Linked DNA regions of Yarrowia lipolytica. The protein of the gene in region 1 purifies or fractionates together with the protein of each later gene. This does not show direct contact. Links are inferred from orthologs where the notes say so. Each region holds a gene or a part of one and is shown in the gene's direction. Other genes may lie near its edges.

Region 1 (13,612 bases):
AAGATCCACTCGTGTGTGATACCTGTGAATACATCATCTACTGGACTGTACTTTGCTGTGGATATAATACTGTGGCTAGGCAATACCGCAGCTGCCAGCAGGAAGTCCTTCACCCAGGAACAGCCGCCCTCACGTCAATCCAATAAATTCATTAATCTAATCGTTTACGCCAAAATGAGCTTGGCGGCAGCAATATCTCCCTCGCTGCCCTTCTTCTCCTTAATCAGCTTCTCCAGCTGCTTAGTGGCTACAGCCTTGAGCTTGTCGTTGCCCTTCTTGTGCTTGCTGATGGCCACAAGAATACCACACCATGCCCGAATGTAGACAGGACACAGTTCCACCGCTCGGCAAAAGTGCGAAATTGCCTCTCCAGCATCCCCTGCTGCAAGATACAGCTCTCCCAGGCGCGCAAACATATTGTATGCGAGAGGAGCACACAGAAGCACCTCCTCCACGGCCGAAATGGCGTCTCCCCACTTCTCACAGGCAGCATAGGCCTCGGCGAGCTCAGACCACGCCTCTGGATCGGTAGGCACCACCTCCAGGTACTTGACCAGCTCGGAAATGTACAGATCAGCCACTCCTGTGTCTCTGAGAAGAGCGATTCGGGCCTTCCAGCACGGCAGATCGCTTTCGGGACGTCCCTGGAGGTACATCAGAGCATCCTTGGGGCCCAATTGTCTGTCAATCAGCATCGACTTGAGCTTGCCGATTCGGCCCGTGTCTTCGCCGAACCGGTCGGCCAGCTTCTGGTATGTTATTTCGGCCTCTCTGGAGTCACCGACCAGCAGAGCGAGATAAAAGTGCTGTTCAAAGAGGGCATATCGGTCGTCATCAGACAGGTTGTAGTGTCGGCCGGCCAGAAACCGCGTGGACTGCTCATGCAATTGCTTCAGCTGCTCCGTGTTGAGATTCAGATACTCTGCTCGTTCAGCAGATTGCACTAGACTCATGGCTGTGTGTATGTCGTTGTAGTTGTGATCGCTGTATGTTCATCATGGTCAACGTACTGTACGTACGTAAACCCATGCACTCGAAACTTTATTATAGTGACGTGACTAAGCTGCAGAAAGAGAATTAGTTGGGAGTTAGTTAGGGAAAAGTTGACTGAGGGCGCAAATAGTGTCCCAGATACGGTAGAAATATGAAACGTACGCCAAAAAATTTATGAAAGTGATCTGGTTGTTATTACTTATCTAACAAGTTACCGGAGTTCTCAGATATAAAGAAATATAATGCTATTCTTGCTTACTTTGAGTTTGTCACTTTACTTAACGTTAGTTAGAACAGTTGAGCAATATGTTACATGCGGCAGCTACAGCTTTACAGTATGTACAGGGGTGTTCTCGAATCAATACTTCCATAAAGTCGCTTGACCATACCAAAAGCCTCTCGCCTTAAGGGGTGATACTTTGCTTGTCTTCATCTGCTTGTAGCCTTATTATTGTCTACAACGTTTATACTTGTAGTAAATACTCGTTACACCAAATCAACTACAATTACAAGTATTCCTTCAATATACATATCATGTAGCTACACCTCCAAAGTTACTTCCGCTGCTCAAGCCGCTCGACAACATGATGCAACTCGGCCACCCGGTTTCCAAGACCCATGAACAGCTTGTATAGCTCCTCCAGCGAAATGGTAAAGTTGTCAATGACCACAGAAGGGTTCTGAGGTCCGCTTTGTTCCAGTCCCACAACACCAGCCTCCACCTCGGCCGTCACCTTTGCCAGCTCCTCAATTCGCTTCTCGTACTCCTCACACTTTGTCTTAAAGTAGTTGAGCAGAGGATCGCCGTTCTCTCTGGGAGCTCCAGCGGGTCGGTTGGAGTTGAGACGGCCAGGAGTCTGACTGGTCAGGTAGCTGAGCAGGTTGAAACACGTCTGCGCCTCTTGTGCGGCAATGTCTGATCGAGTCTTGATCTCGTTCATGTTTTCGGAGTCGTGCACCAGAGCCTCGTAAGCAGTGATGTACTTTCTGGAGATGAGCTCAGCATCTCGGGGGATCGACTCGATCATCTCCTGATGCTGCAGCTTGTTCGTGGACAGCTCATCGCATATTCGGGCCTGCTGCTGAATGTATTCGTCGATCTGTTCAAACTCCTTCTGCATATGTTCCGGTAGATCCGACGGTCTGGTCAGAGGAGTGACGGTCAATTGCTGCTGTTGTTGCTGTTGTTGCTGCTGCTGTTGCTGTTGCTGACCAAATCCAAGTCCTCCAGTATTTGTGTTTGTGTTTGTGTTCTGTCCAAATCCTCCTCCAAAGCCGGTACCGGTAGTAGCAGGCTTAGCACCGAAAAGACCACCTCCTGAAGTAGTAGTGGTGGCGGGTTTTGCACCAAACAGTCCGCCGCCCGTGTTAGTAGAAGCGGCGTTGTTGTTCTGGCCGAAAAGTCCACCGGTGGTGCCTGTGGTTCCGGTGTTGGCAGTATTGGATGTGTTCTGTCCAAACAGCCCCCCACCTGAGGGGGCAGCAGGCTTAGCTCCAAAGAGACCGCCTCCGGTTGTGCTTGTGTTCGAAGTGGTGTTGTTGTTGTTCTGGCCGAAAGAGAAACCTCCAGATGTGCCTGTAGTACCAGTAGTACCGGCAGTGTTTGTGTTCTGACCAAACAGCCCTCCTCCAGTGGTGGCAGCAGGCTTGGCTCCAAAAAGTCCTCCTCCGGTGTTTCCGGTGTTAGAGGCTCCAGCATTGTTGTTTTGGCCAAACGAAAAGCCTCCTCCAGTGTTACCGCCCGTGTTGCTGGTCTGATTGGTGTTGTTCTGGCCAAACCCGAATCCTCCGCCAGTGTTGGTGTTAGTGGAGTTGGAATTGTTATTCTGGCCGAACGAAAACCCGCCACCAGTGTTACCGGTCGTGCCGGTATTGGCGGCGCCAAAGCCTCCGGGCTTCTGTCCGAATCCAGTGCTGCCGAACATGATGTATCTGTGTGGTGATGGCGTCTCTAAAAGTTTGGTTTGTTTTGCTGCATGCTGTTGATAATTTTGCTTATTAAGCCAACAAGGCTGAGGATGTAAGCGGATGGATGGTGTAAACACTACAACAGAGCAGCAGGTAACGGAGGCCATAGATTACTTAGATGAGTACTGCTTTAAAAAAAATCAATACTGCCTCCTTTCTATCATCAATTACATATTTCGATTAAACGCCTTATCTTGAAATTCATGAAGTCGTGGAGTCGAACTCAGGGTCAGTCTTGTCAATCTCTCTGAAATTTCAAATTTGAAGCTTGGTTGGGAGGGAGCACCAGGAAAGACTACAGTACAGTGTTCATCCTACAGTATTTTTTTTCCCGTATCCTTCTTCGTTATTCTGGCGGTAATCGACGTGTGAAATACCCGGCGTTTAGGTTGCTCTAGAACATTCCATTGTGATTCACTGTTTTGATGGAAAATGGGGAGCTATTCTGTCACCAGCTTCACTCCCAATTGCCGTGAGTTCTCTCTGGTTGCTGCATTTTCTGTATGATTGTCCGTATGTGAGTCGAACCAAGATCGATAAACTTTCGCGTGATAATACGGCGGAAAGCATGACATCTATCCAACTCTCGTAATAATAGCCCTATAAGCGTGATTTTTCCATAATTTTGTTTGCTGAAACTAACTAAATACACTGATACTCTACTTTTTTCTATGAACCATCTCAGTCCCATACTTTGTGGAAATACAGTAGGTACTACAGTGAACATTCGGCACAGTACGGAAACTCTTTCCCTCCACTGTCAGACCTGCATCTTCCAGGAAACCTCATCGAAATTCAAAAAAGGGGCAACGCGATCGAAAAAAGACAAAATAGTGGCAAATGTCGTCTGAAATAGATGTGTGCTTTCGTTCTGTGGGTGGTACAGGGCGTGTCACCTTCTCCTAGCCATTTCTACTTACAGTACTGTACGTACTCTGACTTCTCAGTCAAGTTAGTTAATGCAGTGTCTACATTACATTTTGTCAAATTCCACAGCTAAACTCCACAGCTAATCCTCGTAACGTTCTGACTAACAATAACTGCATCGTACAATGTATCTACAATACATACATACGAGATGAACCCTTTCATGCAACCTTGTGTACGGCTATTTTTCGCCCGAAATAACTCAGTTCCAGGTTAGGCAAGTCCCTGTAAAGATTCATATCCTCCGTATGGGTAGGGCACGTTTCTGAAGCAGCCTACAAACCATATAGATACAGTATGTTGCAGTTGTGCTGTAGGACACGTGACAGGCATCCATCACTGCCGGGTAAGGTAGTATCGAGCCATCCACGGCGTTCCATATGGTTCCAATAAGCCGGGAGTCGTTCATCTGATGCACTTCATCTCATCCGGCTATCGGAATAAGTCATACCTGCGCTTCCAAAGGCTTCCTTTCTCTCTGTCTACCGCCACCAATAGTCGCCACTATGCGCATTCTATCGTCGTTTGGTTTCCCTTAAAGTTAAGTGTCTTGTCCCTACATCCCACCACATCACAAGATTTGATTTTCAACAGCAGATACACCATCAATGGGTATTCCTAAATTTTTCCGCTACATCAGTGAGCGATGGCCGCTGATTTCCCAACAAGTGATTGATACACAGATTCCTGAGTGAGTATGAGAGCAGTGAGGGTGTTTTTGGAGATGGCAACACGACCGTTTGGTGATTGTGGGGTGTCTGATCGGTCAGCATACTGATGACCAAAACCACGACACTAGACGACCTGAAGGAACGTATAACAAGAGCCTTGTGACTGGAGGATCGTTTGAAAGCCCTTGTCGAATGTTCTATGTTGTTTCGATACATGATTCAGGCCAGATCAAACCCACAATAACACACAAAACTGTTACCACCACAGCCACATCACAACATTTCCGTGCTAACCCAGATATGACAATCTGTACCTCGATATGAACTCGATTCTGCACGTGTGCACACACAAGGACGCAGATGTGACGTTCCAGCTGACGGAAGAACAAATGTTCCGCGCCATCTTCGAGTACATTGAGCATCTATTTTCCAAAATTCGGCCCAAGAAACTCTTCTTTATGGCCATTGACGGAGTCGCACCGAGAGCCAAGATGAACCAGCAGCGATCGCGACGATTCCGAACTGCCCTCGACGCCGAAAAGGCCAAGGCCAAGGCTCTGGAGGAGGGCACCATCCTGAAGGAGGACCAATTCGACTCCAACGCTATTACTCCCGGAACCGAGTTCATGGAGAAACTGACCACCCAACTCAACTACTTTGTGCACAAAAAGGTCAGTGAGGACGCTGACTGGCAGAACATTGACATTGTTCTTTCTGGTCACGAGGTTCCAGGAGAAGGAGAGCACAAGATCAACGAGTGCATCCGAATCAACAAGGCCCAGCCTGACTACGACCCCAACACCCGTCATTGTGTGTACGGTCTGGATGCCGATCTCATCATGCTGGGTCTGGGTTCCCACGACCCCCACTTCTCTCTTCTGCGAGAAGAGGTTGTCTTCGGTCCCCGACGAGCCGGTCCCAAGGCTCTGGAGGAGCAGAACTTTTATCTTCTGCACATTTCTCTGTTGCGAGAGTACCTTGAGCTGGAATTCCAGGACCTTGCTGACGAGATTTCGTTTCCCTATGACTTTGAGAGAATTCTGGATGACTACATCCTGCTCTTCTTCTTCGTCGGAAACGATTTCTTGCCCAACTTGCCTCAGATTCACATCAATGAGGACTCCCATGCTCTTTTTGTAGAGTTGTACAAAAAGGTAATGAAGATTTCCGACGGCTACATCAATGACCGAGGAAACATCAACTTGCAGCGCCTGGATCTCTTCCTGGCTGAGATGGAAAAGTTTGAAATTGGTATTTTCGAGGAGCAGGCCATTGATCTGGCCTGGATCAACAAGGATCTTCCGGAGTTGACTCAAAAATACAAGTCCAAGCGTGGCGAGAAGCTCTATCTCTCACCCCAACAGAAGGAGCTGGTTGTGCAGAAACTGCGCCCCTTTGTTGATGCCCATCTTAAAAACAAGTCCAAGTCGGACTACGATCCTGATAATTTGCCCGAGATCGTATTTGATACTCTCTCCGAAGAGTGTGAATCTCTCGTCAAAGAGATCTCTCTGGACCTCGATTGCCGATTTCTCAAGAACTCTTCCACATCTTGTATGCTAATCGTCGATTACGATGGCCTCCGAGACGAGGAGAGTCCTGAAGAAGCCACCCAGCGCTTCATTGGCTACTCCCAGACCCTCAAGCGGTACGAGGCTGCTCCTGTCAAGACCGCCGAGGCGCTGGCCCAGCGAGAGGAGATTTACAATCAGAAGTTTGAGGAGTGGAAGGACGACTACTATAAAAAGAAGTTTGGTTGGTCGACTACCACCGACGAGGGCAAAGCCGAGCTCAAGGCTCTGACCGAAAACTACGTCGAGGGTCTGCAGTGGATTCTGCACTACTACTACGACGGCGTACCCTCGTGGTCTTGGTACTATGGCTACCACTATGCTCCTCGAGTTTCTGATGTGCGTAAGGGTCTGCAGGCCAATCTCAAGTTCAAGGCTGGCCAGCCCTTCAAGCCCTTCCAGCAGCTCATGGGTGTGCTGCCTGAGAGATCCAAGAAGCTCCTTCCTCAAGCTTACTGGCCCCTGATGGCCGACTCCAACTCGCCCATCTATGACTTCTACCCTAACGACTTTGAGCTGGACAAGAACGGAAAGAAGGCCGATTGGGAGGCAGTGGTCAAGATCCCATTTGTGGACGAGTCGCGTCTTCTGACAGCTATGGCTACGAAGGAGACTGGTCTTACTGCTGGAGAGAACAAGCGAAACGCATTTGGCAACAACTTGTTATTCAAATACTCGCCCCAGCAGGATTATGTCTACCCGTCTTCTATGCCCGGTGTCTTCCAGAACTTGGAGCACTGTCATTGTGTGGTTGAGAAATTTGACTTGCCTTCCATGGACGGTTTGGACGTGGTCATCGGCAAGAAGGATGGCTCCAAGTGGGGCAAGGACATGTTGTCCGGATTCCCCTCTCTCAAGACCCTTCCTTACACCTACGACATTGAGGCTGCTGGTGTTCGAATCTTCCAGCAGGATTCGCGAAACAACACTCTGGTGCTCAACATCATCAACTCCTACAAGAACCGATCTCCCGAATCCATTGCTCGAGAGTTGATGGACCAGTCCATCTACGTCAACTATCCTTACCTGCGAGAGGCCAAGGTGATTGCTGTTTCAGACGAGCTGTTCTCTTACACCTTTGAGAACGGCAAGGTCAACAAATCTCCCCATTCCGACACCATGGCCAAGGAGTGGGCCACCGGATCCCGAAAGATCAAGAACGACTACATCAAGAAGCAGGGTATCAAGAGCGGTAACATCTTTGTCGTTCTTCATGTCCGTTTCCTGGCTGGTATGAAGAAGGGAGACGATGGATCTCTTGTCAAGGACTTTACTGGAGCCACTGGTTCTTTCCCTGTTCAGACTATTGTTGAGAAGGTGGTCAACGAGGATGAGCGGTACAAGGAGCGAGCTGCTCAGCCTATCGCTGCCGAGTTCCCTCTCGAGTCGCGTGTCATTCTCATGTCCGACTTCTGCTATGGTGCTGAGGCCCAGGTTGTCAACCACATTGGCAACACCAAGATGGATCTCCAGGTCAAGAAGTCTGCACCCAACTCTCCCGCTGTTGTGCTTGCGGATGTGGGTAAAAAGATTGCTCGAACAGAGTACGCTACCACCAAGTACTACCCCTCGTATCAGGCCGCCAAGATGGCCGGTATCCAGTCGTCTCTCCTCGGTCGAATCTGCTCCAAGTGTCTGATTCAGAAGGGAGACTCTAAGATTGACGTAGGTCTCAACCTGCGAAATGAGGGCAAGCGAGAAAAGGTGCTTGGCTACACCCGGCGAACTCAGCAGGGCTGGGAGTACACCCAGGATGCCATTGCTCTGGTCAAGAGCTACTACAACACCTTCCCCAAGCTGGTCGAGGGTATTGGTTCCAACCGAGACAAGGGCGTGCCTGACATTTCTGCTCTGGTCAAAGGCGAACCTGCTGAGGTCAACAAGATGCTTGAATCTGCTCGGCGATGGCTCAAGGAGAACGCCTCCCGACTGACTTCTGTGGATATTGACACTCAGTCTCTATCGGTCAAGTCCATCTCTGTTCTTGAGAACTATCTCGTCAAGAACGCTGCTGACCCTGATGCTGTGCGGTTTATCCCCTCCGTTGTGAAGGGTACTCCTCGTCAGGCTGTTCTTCGACCTGATGAGGCCTTCCACCAGCTTCGTGGCCAGCGATTCGATCTGGGGGACCGGGTTGTGTATGTCCAGGACTCTGGAAAGGCTGCCATCTTTTCTCAGGGTACCGTGATCGGTATCAAGGCCGTTGGCGTGGATGTTCGGCTGGATGTGCTGTTTGATGACGAGTTTGTCGGTGGCAACAACTTCCAGGGCCGAGCTTCCACCAACCGAGGTCTCAACGTCGCTGCCAACACCGTCATCAACCTGACCAACCGGCAGATGATGTACCGACCCAAGGGCGGCAACCGAGGTGGCAAGGCTAATGGCCAGCAGACCAACGGCAAGACCAACAACGCCCGGGGCCGAAACAACGGCCGACAGGGTTCTCCTGCCGCTTCTGCAGTGCCCAAGCCCAAGCAGCCCTCTCCTGGTGTCAAGATTCTTCAGCGACCCAGAGACGCTGCTCCTGTTGCTGAGACCTCTACTTTAGGTGAGGTCCCCACTGCTGTGGCTGCTGCTACCGCTGCTGTATCAGAGTCTGCTACTGTCCCTCCTGCTCCCGCTCCCAAGACCGAGGAGGAGCTGAAGAAACAGAGCGAGGCTCTTTTGGACTCTCTCAAGTCCAAGACTTCTGCTGACGCCAAGAAGCAGGTCCTGGGCAACGTGCTGAACCAGTACTCCAACCCTCAGCCCCAGGGACCTTCTCAGCACCAGCAGCAGGGCCCTCCTATGCACTACGGAGGCCCCCAGGGTGGATTTGTACCCCCTCCCCCTCCCGGATTCCCTACCCAGGGATTTCCCCCCCAGGGCTACCTCCCTCAAGGACACTTCCCTCCCGGATATTACCCTCCCCAGCCTTTCTACCCTGGTCAGGGTTATCCTCAGGGACCTGGCCCTCAGAACCAGCAGCACCAGCAGGGCGCTCCTCAGGGAACTCCTCAGGGCAATGAAGACCTCTCTGCACAGTTGATGGCTGCCCTGCAGGTTTCTGATAACTCTCAGCAGCCTGCCACCGGACTTGCCAATGAAGGAGGCCGAGGACGAGGAGGACGGGGTCGAGGACGTGGAGGACGTGGACGTGGAGGACGTGGTCGAGGTGGACAAGGTCAGGGCGGACAGCAGGATGCCAACAACCCTCGGATTCCCCAGGTGACTCCCCGGCCTTAGTAGAACGGACTGACGTGTCTAAACTTGGCATGAATGGTTGTATAATAATGGAAATTGGATATATTGATTGATAATTTTGTTGCGTAGATGTACCAGTGATACAGTATTTGAGTTTTGTTGTGAATGTGGCCCTCCAGTAATTACGAGTACATACTGGTACTACTTGCACTTGTATTGTATGTGGCAAGTGATGATAATTTTTTGATATCGTGTACCTAGTCGCGGCGGTACTGTTTGTTGTTTTGTTTTTGTTTTTTTTTGTTATTGTTTTTCATATTTTTTGAGCATTTCTTTCTATTCTCGCAGCTCAATTACAGCAGCTTTTAGTACAGTATATGGTTCATTATCGCGTACTGCACCACCCTGGAGCAAACCAACATGTGTAGCAGGTATTATTTGTCTTACAAGTGATACACTTTTGCCTATCATTGTAATCTCATGATTCGTCTGAAGACTGTATTGATTTTATTGTCACTTACATAGTAATCTAGATCATAATGGCACCTCCGAACTCAACGCTGTTATGTCCATACTAAAGATTTCTCATTACTAAGTACACAGGATGTACAGTAATTAGTGAAAACTGAAACCTTTATGGACCAACTCGGAGAAGTTGTATCGTGTGTGGCATGTACGCAACTAACCACATTCTCATCTCTTCAAGACACAATCTAACAAAAAAATACAAGGCCCTGTCAATTGTGGATTTGGAATCACGTGACTCGCCAGCAAACAAGAAGCGATGTTCGGAACTCCGGCGGTTTGTTCACTGTCATCAGCCGCTCTGCACCCCAGACTCCCAAACTTAACATTTCAGGTCGGACGGATCAGTCATTCCGACTTGTTCATCACCAACCACACTAACAGCATGGCTACCCGATTTGCCCAGCAGGCCCGAAAAATCCTGTGCATTGGCCGAAACTACGTCGAGCACATCAAGGAGCTCAATAACACGGCTCCCTCCAAGCCCTTCTTCTTCCTCAAGCCCTCGTCTTCCATCCTGCTCCCCAACGAGGGTCCCATGCTCGTGCCCTCGGGAACTGTTGTGCACTACGAGGTAGAGCTGGCTGCAATTCTCGGCAAGGAGCTCAAGAACCTCAACCCCAAGACTTTCACTGAGCAGGACGCCATTGACGCCATTGATGGCTACGCTCTGGCTGTTGACATGACTGCTCGAAACGTGCAGGACGAGGCGAAGAAGAAGGGTCTGCCCTGGTCAATTGGCAAGGGGTTCGATACCTTCCTGCCCATCTCCAACTTCATTCCCAAGAGCCAGATCCCCGATCCTCACAACGTGCATCTTCACCTTGAAATCAACGGACAAACTAAACAGTCCGATAACACCAACCTGATGATCTTCAAGCTGCCCCAGATTCTGTCCACCATGAGCAGCATCATGACTCTTCAGCCCGGTGATATTATTCTCACTGGAACCCCCAAGGGAGTGGGTCCTGTTAACCCTGGAGATCGAATGACCGCCGGTATCTCTGTTGATGGAAAGGAGCTCGAGGCCAAGGTCGATGTTCAGGTTGAGCAGAAGCCTGGTCCTTACGTTTATTCTCAGATCTAATCTATATAGATATCAATGACACTTGCCAAGATAATACGTGATACTGTACGTGACTTTGCTACAATAATATAGTATAGCCTTCTGTCTTGGTGACAAGCAACAGTTAGCCATTATATATACTGTACCAAGCTGTAACACAAGCTTCGTCTCACCCAATTCATTATCATTACGTCGTAACTATTCACATATATACTTGCTCTTTCGTTGGTCAGCATTCCCATGCTCTTCGTTTGGTCAACTCACAATCATCTTTTGTCTCTCAATCTCATTAGTGGGCATGTTTTTGCTGACCCAGTTGATATCTCTGAGGAACTGACCGTAGTCGCCGTTGATTGCTCCTCGCACCCGCTTCTTGACCTTGTCGTAGTCCTCCTCCTGAGTCTGGTACTCTCTGACCACCAGGCCCTCCTCGAACTCAATGTACACTCGTGTGTCTCTGATTCGGAACTTGACGCCGTCTACTCTCAGAAAGAAGCGACTGAGCAGCAGCAGTCGTTTGGGCATGACTCTGATCTTGACTGACAGAACCGCACTTCCGTTGTCTGCCAGCTCGTCTTCATAAAGCACCATATCGTCAAAGAAGAGGATGGGATCCGGTAGAGTCAGCTTGTCCAGCGGTAATGGCTCCGGGCATGGCTTCCATTCAGCCTCACACTTGCCCTGTTGCACGTCTCCCAGGTACTTTGGCGAGTAAGTCCAGTCGAATGGTTTGTTGATAATCTGAATCTCTTCCTCCGCCGTCTCTTCTCGCGTTGCCAGCCAATGTTTGGAGTGGGCCACCACCAGTCCGGTGGGCTCACCTGTCTTGTCCACGAGATCCAGGGCGTTGATAGCGTCGAAATTGATGCTCCAACCTGACGCTTCATGTTCGATTTTAATGATGTTGTTGCCGAAGATCATTTCGGGCACTGGGATTCCAAGACGGGCTTCGGCCGCGTCGATTTCTGCAGCATTGAGAATCGGCCGCTTCTCGGCAGTCACAGTCCACCCTTTTTCTGAAATGGACGGCATGTTGTACGGAGTATGGTGAGCGTTGCAGGGTTCGCGGTCTTAGGCTTTACTTATCGAATATTAAGGCACGTTGATGCGTTCATGCAGGAATTAGTCATAACCTGAGAGATCAGGAGACCACGACATCCGCCTAAGGACAGTATTGGAAGTCACTACAAGTAATCTAACTCGTATAGAACAACTTATAACTATCAATAGAGACTTACGGTGAATGCACTTACGTAATACCCCGTTGCATGTAACACAACAACGTATGACTCTGCGTGAGACATGCCATGACTGTCATCTTGGAAAAGCACTATAGTGAGCACCTACAACTACAAGTACTGTATGTACTGTACGATACCTGTAGAGTAGCTACACTGTGAAAAACATATTGCGACGGTACTAAATAACAGTAAAGGTCAGCATTTTCAATTCCCAAACAGCTTCTGATTGTAGCCATTTGGGCATTTTTATGACTGCATCACCATACACGTGGTCGCCTAACTTTCGAGTTTTTGCCGCCCCCAGAGAGAGCTCTGACAGTGTCCGTCGCAAACTGCAGTATGTACGTAGCTGTAGTCATGCACGCACGTTGAAGAATGAAGGCAAGAATCACCATAGGAGGTTGATTTAGAGGTGGGTCAGTAGATTGTATGAGTATGTATGTACTGTAGTAGAATTTTTATTATAAACTGTAGCAGTGTCTTATTGAGTGGTCATGTAATTTTTGACCTATATTAGCTAGTACACATCAATAGCAGACAATACCCATTCCTGGGCTACATCATACTTGTATAAGGTACATTGTACAAGTACAAGTGGTTTGTTGTCGCCCACCATGGACATTCCATTTTCGAACCCCGGCTGACAGTACAAGTAAAATGCACATAGTGAAAAGCACCACAGAGGTGATTGGAAACATGGGCACCGAAACAACACGTTATTATATCATCATATATATAGTTTCTCTACGGATAACCTATGTAGTAGTTCATCTAACCTACTCATTGCTTCGTATCACTCCACATTGCTTCCTTTTACACCTGCCATAAATCATACGTTATCGCAGAGAGTCTATTTTCGGAAACTGCAGAAAACACGCGCCATCAGAGTGAACATTCCATCTACACAACTCCATCAATCTCGACACAATGATTCGAAGATCGTCGGCTACTTTCATAGCACTCATACTGACGCTTGTCATAATCACCCTGGTATCCCTGCGATCGGACCATGTGCCTGGACGAGCGGCTGTGTCCATGGTGGAAGATCGAATCACACGGGTCCAACCTGGCTCGAAAAAAGCTGCGGCGCCGGAAAAGGTCAACATTGTGAAGGATGACACGTCATCGGAGAACATCAAGGCCAAGAATGAGGCCGCCCAGCAGGTTCCCGACATTGGCGGACCCTCCATTATGGCCAAGATGGGTAACGAGACTCTCAAGGCTGAACTAGGAAGAGCATCGTGGAAACTGTTCCACACCATCATGGCCCAGTACCCCGAGACACCCACAAAACAGGAGCAAACCACGCTGAAAAACTACATATATCTCTTCTCTCAGGTCTACCCCTGTGGTGAGTGTGCTGAGCACTTTCAGAAGCTGCTGGCAAAGTTCCCCCCACAAGTCTCGTCTAGAAACACTGCATCACAGTGGGCTTGTTACGTCCACAACCAGGTCAACGAGCGGCTT
Region 2 (7,843 bases), on another chromosome or scaffold:
TTCTTGTCTCACAGGTAAATAGCCCGAGTCCTCGGAGATAAAGCCAAGCAAGTAATTGACCTTATCGAAAAGTGTGAGAGTGTATGTGACGCCGCCAACCAGGTAGTCGAGTCGGTTGACGGACGAGATGTAGACGAAGCAGTCGAGCAGCCACTCTCTAGACCGAACGGGGTCGGAGATTTCGCACAATGGCTCAACAACTCCTACAAACCGTCTTCGTCCCCGTTATCGGCCTCATCAACCGCGTCCTTGTTGCATCGCAGCACGTAGAAGGCGTCGGCCAAGGTGATGGCGACTAACAAACCCCCAAAAGTCTGCCAATCACACACCAAACTCGCGAAAGCACTCATAAACCACGAAAAAACACAAGAAACACGAATCAGCATCCCCAAAACTATCTAAACAACTCCAAAAACCATCACTATCTCTTCCTGATTAACTAAATATGGTCACTTCGCCAGAAAAAAAAGACCAGGAAAATACAACGTCAATATTGGTCACGTGATAATAAAACGGACATCATTTTTCAGCCCTGGATTTGACAATCGTGATGATCAACTTTGAAATACTATACAACCTACTCTACTTGGTCTAGCAGAGTCCTCCGTACCTGGAAATACATGCATTAAACTAGCTGAATATAGGCCACGTGACAATAAAAAATATACCGACCCGTAGCACCAGACCTTGGCTTTCAAACAATGAACTCTGACATCCGATCTGACCATTTTTGAGCGCAAAAAGTTGAATTTATTTTCAGTCAGAGAAACAGCAACAACCTCCCCAATATGAATCACGTGACTAAAAATCGGTACCATTGCGTAGCCCTTGTTCAGGGATTTACAACAGTCAACTCTGGGGCCAGATCGGGTGCATTTTCAGTTGAAAAAGTTGAATTTGTTTTTTTTTTATTATTTTTTTTATCAAAAAGTGACAACTACCTCAATATGGGTCACGTGACAATAAGAAATATGGAACCATCCGAATTCCAATTCTAGACCGAAATCTGAGCAGTTTTTTTCCCAGTCTACAACTGTCAATATGATGTCATCATGACTTTTCTGCAAAAATTACTTACGTAAAAACATAATTCAACACTGCACCGTCTTGGTGAGTCAGTGAGTCGATGAGTCACATGACCACATGACCACAAAAAAGGTGGGATCTCCCAGACTGTCTCTATTCTAGGCCACTTTGAATCTCTTGTCTTTTTTTGGTATCTTTCTTCTATTCCATCATCGATTTTTAACTGGAATTCCATAGTTAATAGAAGATATATTGGTCAACGTTAGTGCAGATGCTCTTCCTTCTCCTTTTCGTGAGACTCAATCGGGACCACATATTTTCGGATAAACATAACGAGCTTCTCCCAGTACTCGGGTTGGACAATGGTATCATTGTGGGTTCCGTTAGCAAAGTACTCGACGACCTTGACGTCGGCCGGACACATGCCAATGAGTCCCTTCATGTGTGGAGGCGGCACTATTTCGTCTCGGAGCCCCGACAGGAACATTGTGGGGATTTGCGGGTTGATGAGGGGCATCAGTTTCTCCGACTCCCATTTCTGGTGGCAGAGTCGGGCAAAAGGCGCCGCGAACGGAAGCACGTACCCAATGAGCTTGGGGATGCTCAGAAAGGTGTTTTCAAGAATCAGACCCTTGATGATGGAGCCCTCGGAGCCGCCAAACTGCGACGCCATGTAAATGGCCACTGCGCCGCCCAGAGAGCGCCCATACAGCACCAGAGAGGTGTTTTTGATTTGCGGATGGGTCTGCAGATAGTTGTACAGCGCCCGGGCGTCCGTCTTGATGCCCACTTCGCTGGCCGTGCCTGTACTCAAGCCATATCCTCGGTACGAAAAAATCACCGCATTGTAGCCCATCTGTTGGTAGAACAGCCGCACAATGGGCAGAGCATGCCCCATGTTCCCGGCATTGGGACACAGGAGAAGAACCGTCTTGGGCACATAGTTGGGCTCCGACTCGTCGTGCAGAACCACAAACGCCTTGATCTTCTCGCCGTCGGCAGTCTCAATCGTCACATCTTTGTATGACGGCATGCCCTGAGAATCGGGCGTGTCCACGTGTGTTCGAGACCCGGCGGGGAAATTTGACGGATAGATGAGCTTGGACTGGAAAATGTACAGCCCAGCAGCCACAAACGCCGTGATGGCGGCACCCAGCCCAAACAGATAAAAGGCGTACCGCTGGATGGAAGAGGTCATCAGGGGGCGCAGAAGACGAGATGTGCGGTCACGTGACACAGCAGAGAGTCGATGGCGGGGTTTGGGGGTCGACAGCTTGCCAATTGGGTCAAAAGTCCGCCGTTGGGTGATGTGTGGAGGTGATGATGGAGATGCCAAGTTACACAAAGTGCGTTGGAGTGCATCTTTCATGTGCGAACGGGGCTAGGGGTGTCTAATTTTGGAAACTTTCCAATTGGGAATCAGGGTTAGGTGAAGTTCCCATTTCTTACTTCCAATGAGAAAAGACAGGAAGAGGCTGGGTTAGGGTCCCCTCCCAATCGATGGCAGGGTTAGGACCCGTCCCTACCCACACTGCCAAATCCAGACAAACGCTAAAAGGAGGTTAGGTGACACTTTCAGTTCAGCAGGGGGGTTACCCGGCACTGCAGGACCCAAAATTCCTCTTGCACAATTCATCCACCACAAACGAGCTCTGTCTTGATCGCACAACAGTACTTGATTGGAAAGTGAGTATGTCGCAAGGGGGTGAAGTCACGTGACAAGCGATCACGTGGTGCGCGCGATGCCATGTGGCGTTTTTTTTGCCCGGATCGGCCCCGATTTGGCGGTGTTACACAGATGGATACACAGTCGCACAGACAGGAAAAAGTGGTAGCACACTCAGACATGAGGGGTTGGAGATGGTAGAGAAGAGATAGGGGGAGGACTCGGCGATGTGATTTCGATGGTGGCGTTGATGATACTGTGAATGTGGCGACGATGTTGTGGATGTGGTGACGAGACTGTTGATGTGATGGGGAAGACGCTGTTGATGTGGTGGGACGACACTACTAAAGTGGTGGGACGACACTGCGGATGTGGCATGTCGCGTGCACTCATCGATGGTGTGTAAGGTGAGCAGTATATGTCTCTTCGACACGTTTCGCTTCCCTGCGGTGCCTGTCTCTGTCTTCAGTCTAAGTCTACCGTCTACACATGTTTGCTGTTACTGTTGCTGCAGTTCTGCTGATGTCCATCTCCTCCCTCTCGTTCTGTGCAAGTGTGCCATCAATGAGCTGTCCTTATGGCCATGACTACTAAATATCGACCTGTCTGCTCGTCTGTCGGTCGAAAATCTGTCTCCATCAAGGGCACAATCACCATGTCTACAATGGCAATCCAGACGGATGTCTCAGTGATTTCTACAGATATCGCCTTGCAATTGTCCCAGTCTGTGATTCCTCCAGTGCCTATGTTGTTCAGCATAGACTTAGACGTATCACGTATCTTACATCGCCATAAACCAGCTTCTCGCTCACAACTGCCGATTCCGTACTAACCCAGAATGGCCGCTACTACTGACAACGTGACTGAAGCTGTCGCCAACCTCAACATCAAGGAGGAGGCCCCCGTTGCTTCCGAGCCTGCCGAGGTGACCGAGACAGTCGAGGAGGAGGTGACCCCCGCGGAGCCCTTCAGCACCGTGTTCGACTCCAAGACTGAGTTTGCCACCGTCCACAAGCTGACCACCCCCTGGACTCTGTGGTACATCAAGCCCCCTTCCCCCGCGGTTGCCTGGCACGATCTGATCAAGGAGGTGGTGTCGTTCGACACCGTTGAGGGCTTCTGGGCGGTGTACAACAACATCCCCAAGCTGGTGGAGCTACCCATCCGGTCGGACTATGCATTTTTCAGAAAGGGCATCCGGCCCGAGTGGGAGTGTGACTCCAACAAGGCCGGCGGCAAGTGGTTCTACCAGTTCAAGCCCAAGTCTGCCAACGAGTTTGACGAGATTTGGCTCCACACGGTGCTGTCTGTGATTGGCGAGAGCCTCGAGACCGACGAGGAGATTGCCAAGCACGAGGGCAAGTACAACAACGTGGACGGCTCGGCCTCCAACGTGAACGGCATTTTTGTCAACATCCGAAAGGCCGGTGTGCGGTTCAACGTCTGGACCAAGACCTCCGAGGTGACCGACGAGCTGCGCCAGATGGGCGTCAAGATCAAGCAGGTGCTGCGTCTGCCCGAGAAGGAGGAGGTCCAGTTCCAGTCCCATGAGGAGTCGGCCTCCAAGAACGTCAAGTCGCAGGGCAAGACCAGACTGGCGGTTTAGCTGGAGTGAGAGATGAAAAAGGTGAGACCTAAGTTATTGAGAGGCGGGCTGCATTATAGTAATGTATGGCCAACGAAGGCCGCGAGAGAGCAGCATCACGAGCATCCTTAACATCACAAGCAAGAGCGATCTGAATGCGAATGATTGCGAGTTATGCGAGAGTGAAAGCAGCTGTAGAAAAGTGTGGAGTAGAAAAGTGTGGAGTAGAAAAGTGTGGAGTAGAAAAGTGTGGAGTAGAAAAGTGTGGAGTAGAAAAGTGTGGAGTAGAAAAGTGTGTTAGTTGTAGCACGTAACGTGACCTGCCGATTAGAGCGTTGGGGATACGATCCAACTATTGTGGAAAAAATTAGTTGAAGTTTCTCATGAGAAAAAAGGTCAAAGATAACGTCTCCTTTAGTCAAAGGAGACCAGATAGAGACAGTTTGAACGAGGGAAATGAATCATGACGAAACGAATGGGGTTCAATTCTTCAATTCCGACTTGTATTCGCAGAGTAGTGTTGGTTTGATGTTATGTATTTCTCTCAACAAAATCCAAGTAATTTTTTTTGTTTTTTTTTGGAGAATGTTCGATATCGTGTATATGAATTCACGAGGGTGGATTATGTTTAAACCAAGTGAATTCTGGGGTCTGTAGCTACAGTAGGATATATTATATGTTTCTTCAGAAGATCTGGAGGGCCGTGTAGGGACATCCAGTGAAAATTTTGTCAACTAAAGTCTAACTAAATAGTGGCAAGCAAACATAGAAGTCCTGGGAAACACAGAGCGTAATGAAGCAGTGGTAAAAGGATTAGAGGATGTTGTTCTAAGCTGAGGTGTATATAGGGTATGTATTGTGGATATTATTACTGGTCACGTGTCTCTGGAACGTCTATACAAGAGTCTAGTAATAATCAGATAGTTGACTGAGAGATGGGTGGGAGATGGGTAATATTGGTAGGGACTGGAAAAAGTTCACGTGATAGCAGTGAATTTGGGGGGGGGTCAGGAAATCGTCTTTTGGGACATCATATATATTTCAATTAGTTTTTGTGCCGTGTTTTCTGAATTTTTTTTTGTTCTCTGGTATGGGGTGTTTTAATACCGGCGCTTGAATCTGTCAGAAAGGCCATGAGTTGATAACTTGAATTGGAGAGTGTTTTAACGGGATAAAAGGAAAAGAAATCAAAGTGCTGGTCTCTAAATGTCTGGTTTTTGGCTGAGAAATGTGTTTTTTTGAAAGCAGGTTTAGGATCAAAGAAACTGCTCCAGAATTTGTTCCAGGACATCTGACGATATGGAAACAAATGAAATAGAATATTTCGAGTCCAAGAAACCCAATGGTAAAGTCCCCATAAATCTAGCATTTCTGCAGCGGTATATAAATGCGTCTTTAAAAGTTGGACATAGTCCGTATGTGCTGCAGATGGTTTTGCCATAACTCGATAATGCGTCAATCAGTGGACTTTGCGAGTTGAAAAGAAGATATAATGGGATCATAGGAATACTGAAATCGACTCTGTTTGTCTATATTCGATTTTTGGGGTCCAAGAGCGTCAATTCCAGATGGAGTAATGGTGGAAATTAAAGGTGAATTTTCTGCTGCTGGAACAGAGATTGGAATTTGGTTGTATTGAAAATATTGCTATAAAGGAATCAATAAGTAGGATGAACAAAATCCCACGTCGATGACATCAAAATTGGTCAATTTGGAGCGGTTTGGAAATGGTCGCAAATGTCAATAGTACAGTGCATACTGTACTAGATGTGACTGGTCAAATGCACTGTACTATGACCTTTGACCGGTCAGATTGGACTGTAAAAACTCTGATTATTTTCTCTAGAGTGCCCATTTCTGCTCTCTTCTTCTTACTCATCACTTGTTGCGTCCGGTAGCCCCTGTCGCAACAAAACAATACGAATGACACAGGAGTGACACAAAGAGTGACACAAAGAGTGACGCAAAAACACATTTTTTTTGGGGGCTGAAACAGTCCGTCATTGACACAACCACCCCTCTCCCAGCTCTCCTCTCCCAGCTGCTAACACAAATCTCCGACAGATCACATTACACAGACACTGTTCTTCAGCAGATTGATTACCGCTCACTTCATCAACTGTCTCAGGATAAGGCTGTCAGGACAAGCTAAGGATAAATCGCGACCTTCACCTAGTTCAGTGGTGATCAGTCAAACAGACTCGGGATTAGAACCAGACAGACGGTATTGATACACAAAGTGATTCTTGGATGTCACATGACTGCTGTATCACAACTGTCACAATAACCACGATGCCACTCTTCAATACATCCACCCACACAGTATTCCCTTCCCCTACTGTATGTACTGACTGCTACTCGTCCGTCTCGGAACTCCCTCATTCGATGGATACCACCGAGTCCACGGCTTCGACCTCATTCGGCGTGCATTGTCGGACTACTTCATATATGCCACATAGCGCTTTGGATGCGCATTTAGTCACACACACGGAAACACAATCCCATGCCGCGGGCTCCGTACGGTCCCCAACTCACAGTGTCAATTATGGAAGTGAGCAGTCGTTGGGTGGGGCGTGCGATGAAGAGCCAAAGCAGATTATGAGACTTTGACTGAATATCTTCTCCGATATTGAGTCAACTCTTCTCTTCTCACCGACGAGAATCCACGCAATTCCTAGATCATCTCCATGGTGAATGGAACCTGGACAGAGCGACTTGTCGAAACGAAGAGTGAAGTTCGCCCTCGAGCCTGTACCCATCCCTTTGAGGATTCAGGGGTCTCTGGCCAGTTACACCCTGTGCTAGAATTTCGGAGTCTCCAGGCTCTTTCTTCTGCTTCCGTTGTTGAGACTGCAGTATGTACTGTAGGTACCATATGTCCTATACATACTGTACTTGTAATCTTGCTCTGAGATGTGTCTTGACCTGTCAACGGTACGGTAAGAGTCTGCTTGGCTGCGTCCGGTCGGTTGTCGGGCCTTACTACCGCCGCAGTTTAAACTATTGCCGACACTTTTCTCAGAGAGCTGCATCGATGGTACAACGGTGTGTTCAGACAGTCACACCCTCTTCTCAAACATCGACTCCACTTGATGTGACTCGGTTGTCTGACCCTGTTCTGTCCTGGATGAAGTCCGACTCATTCTGACTTCAACCCATCTCCAAAGCACTCGTTTCTCCCCCGAGTCACAGCCCTACATTACAGTGGTACACACCTACGCCATCTAACCATCTATTCAAATCTAACAAATTCTAGCTATGATACATTTCCGCGTGAGCACAGGTAGTTCCGGACGAACCCTTGACGTAATTAGACCAGAGACTCAGGGTCTACCGATTGTAGAGCTGCACCAGTTCCTCCCAACCGAGGGCACTGGGCCCCTGCTCCTCCCCCTCCACCCCGTCCAATCTCTCCAGATCCACCTCCATCCCGGCCAGCCCCATCATCTGCCGGTAGACCCTCTCCGCGGGGAACTGCGGGCCCATCTCGGTGGCAATGCGCCTCCACCTCCCTGCCCAGTCACGGGCCACAACGCTCTTCAGCTTGTCGGTCTCCTGCTTGGTCC

What was found. Proteins that work in one complex are often made in the same cells at the same time.
Region 2: the proteins of YALI1_C31971g (region 1) and YALI1_D32002g purify together in Saccharomyces cerevisiae (affinity purification with mass spectrometry; 3 studies listed by BioGRID, with this or other methods). This does not show direct contact. The link is inferred for Yarrowia lipolytica from reciprocal best matches to the Saccharomyces cerevisiae genes XRN1 and CDC33.

Annotation. Positions count from the first base shown.
Region 1 is NC_090772.1:3,188,357-3,201,968, reverse strand, and holds YALI1_C31971g (uncharacterized protein), read left to right. Parts: upstream 1-4,496; coding exon 4,497-4,579; intron 4,580-4,857; coding exon 4,858-9,355; downstream 9,356-13,612. Other genes in the region: YALI1_C32010g (uncharacterized protein), read right to left, coding at 165-953; YALI1_C31989g (uncharacterized protein), read right to left, coding at 1,548-3,068; YALI1_C31918g (uncharacterized protein), read left to right, coding at 10,098-10,925; YALI1_C31900g (uncharacterized protein), read right to left, coding at 11,160-11,936; YALI1_C31888g (uncharacterized protein), read left to right, coding at 13,073-13,612. UniProt on the Saccharomyces cerevisiae protein: Multifunctional protein that exhibits several independent functions at different levels of the cellular processes. 5'-3' exonuclease component of the nonsense-mediated mRNA decay (NMD) which is a highly conserved mRNA degradation pathway, an RNA surveillance system whose role is to identify and rid cells of mRNA with premature termination codons and thus prevents accumulation of potentially harmful truncated proteins.
Region 2 is NC_090773.1:3,195,798-3,203,640, reverse strand, and holds YALI1_D32002g (uncharacterized protein), read left to right. Parts: upstream 1-3,530; coding exon 3,531-4,298; downstream 4,299-7,843. Other genes in the region: YALI1_D32024g (uncharacterized protein), read right to left, coding at 1-153, 1,079-1,261; YALI1_D32013g (uncharacterized protein), read right to left, coding at 1,289-2,395; YALI1_D31981g (uncharacterized protein), read right to left, coding at 4,327-4,428, 5,446-5,568; YALI1_D31948g (uncharacterized protein), read right to left, coding at 7,608-7,843. UniProt on the Saccharomyces cerevisiae protein: Recognizes and binds the 7-methylguanosine (m7G)-containing mRNA cap during an early step in the initiation of protein synthesis and facilitates ribosome binding by inducing the unwinding of the mRNAs secondary structures.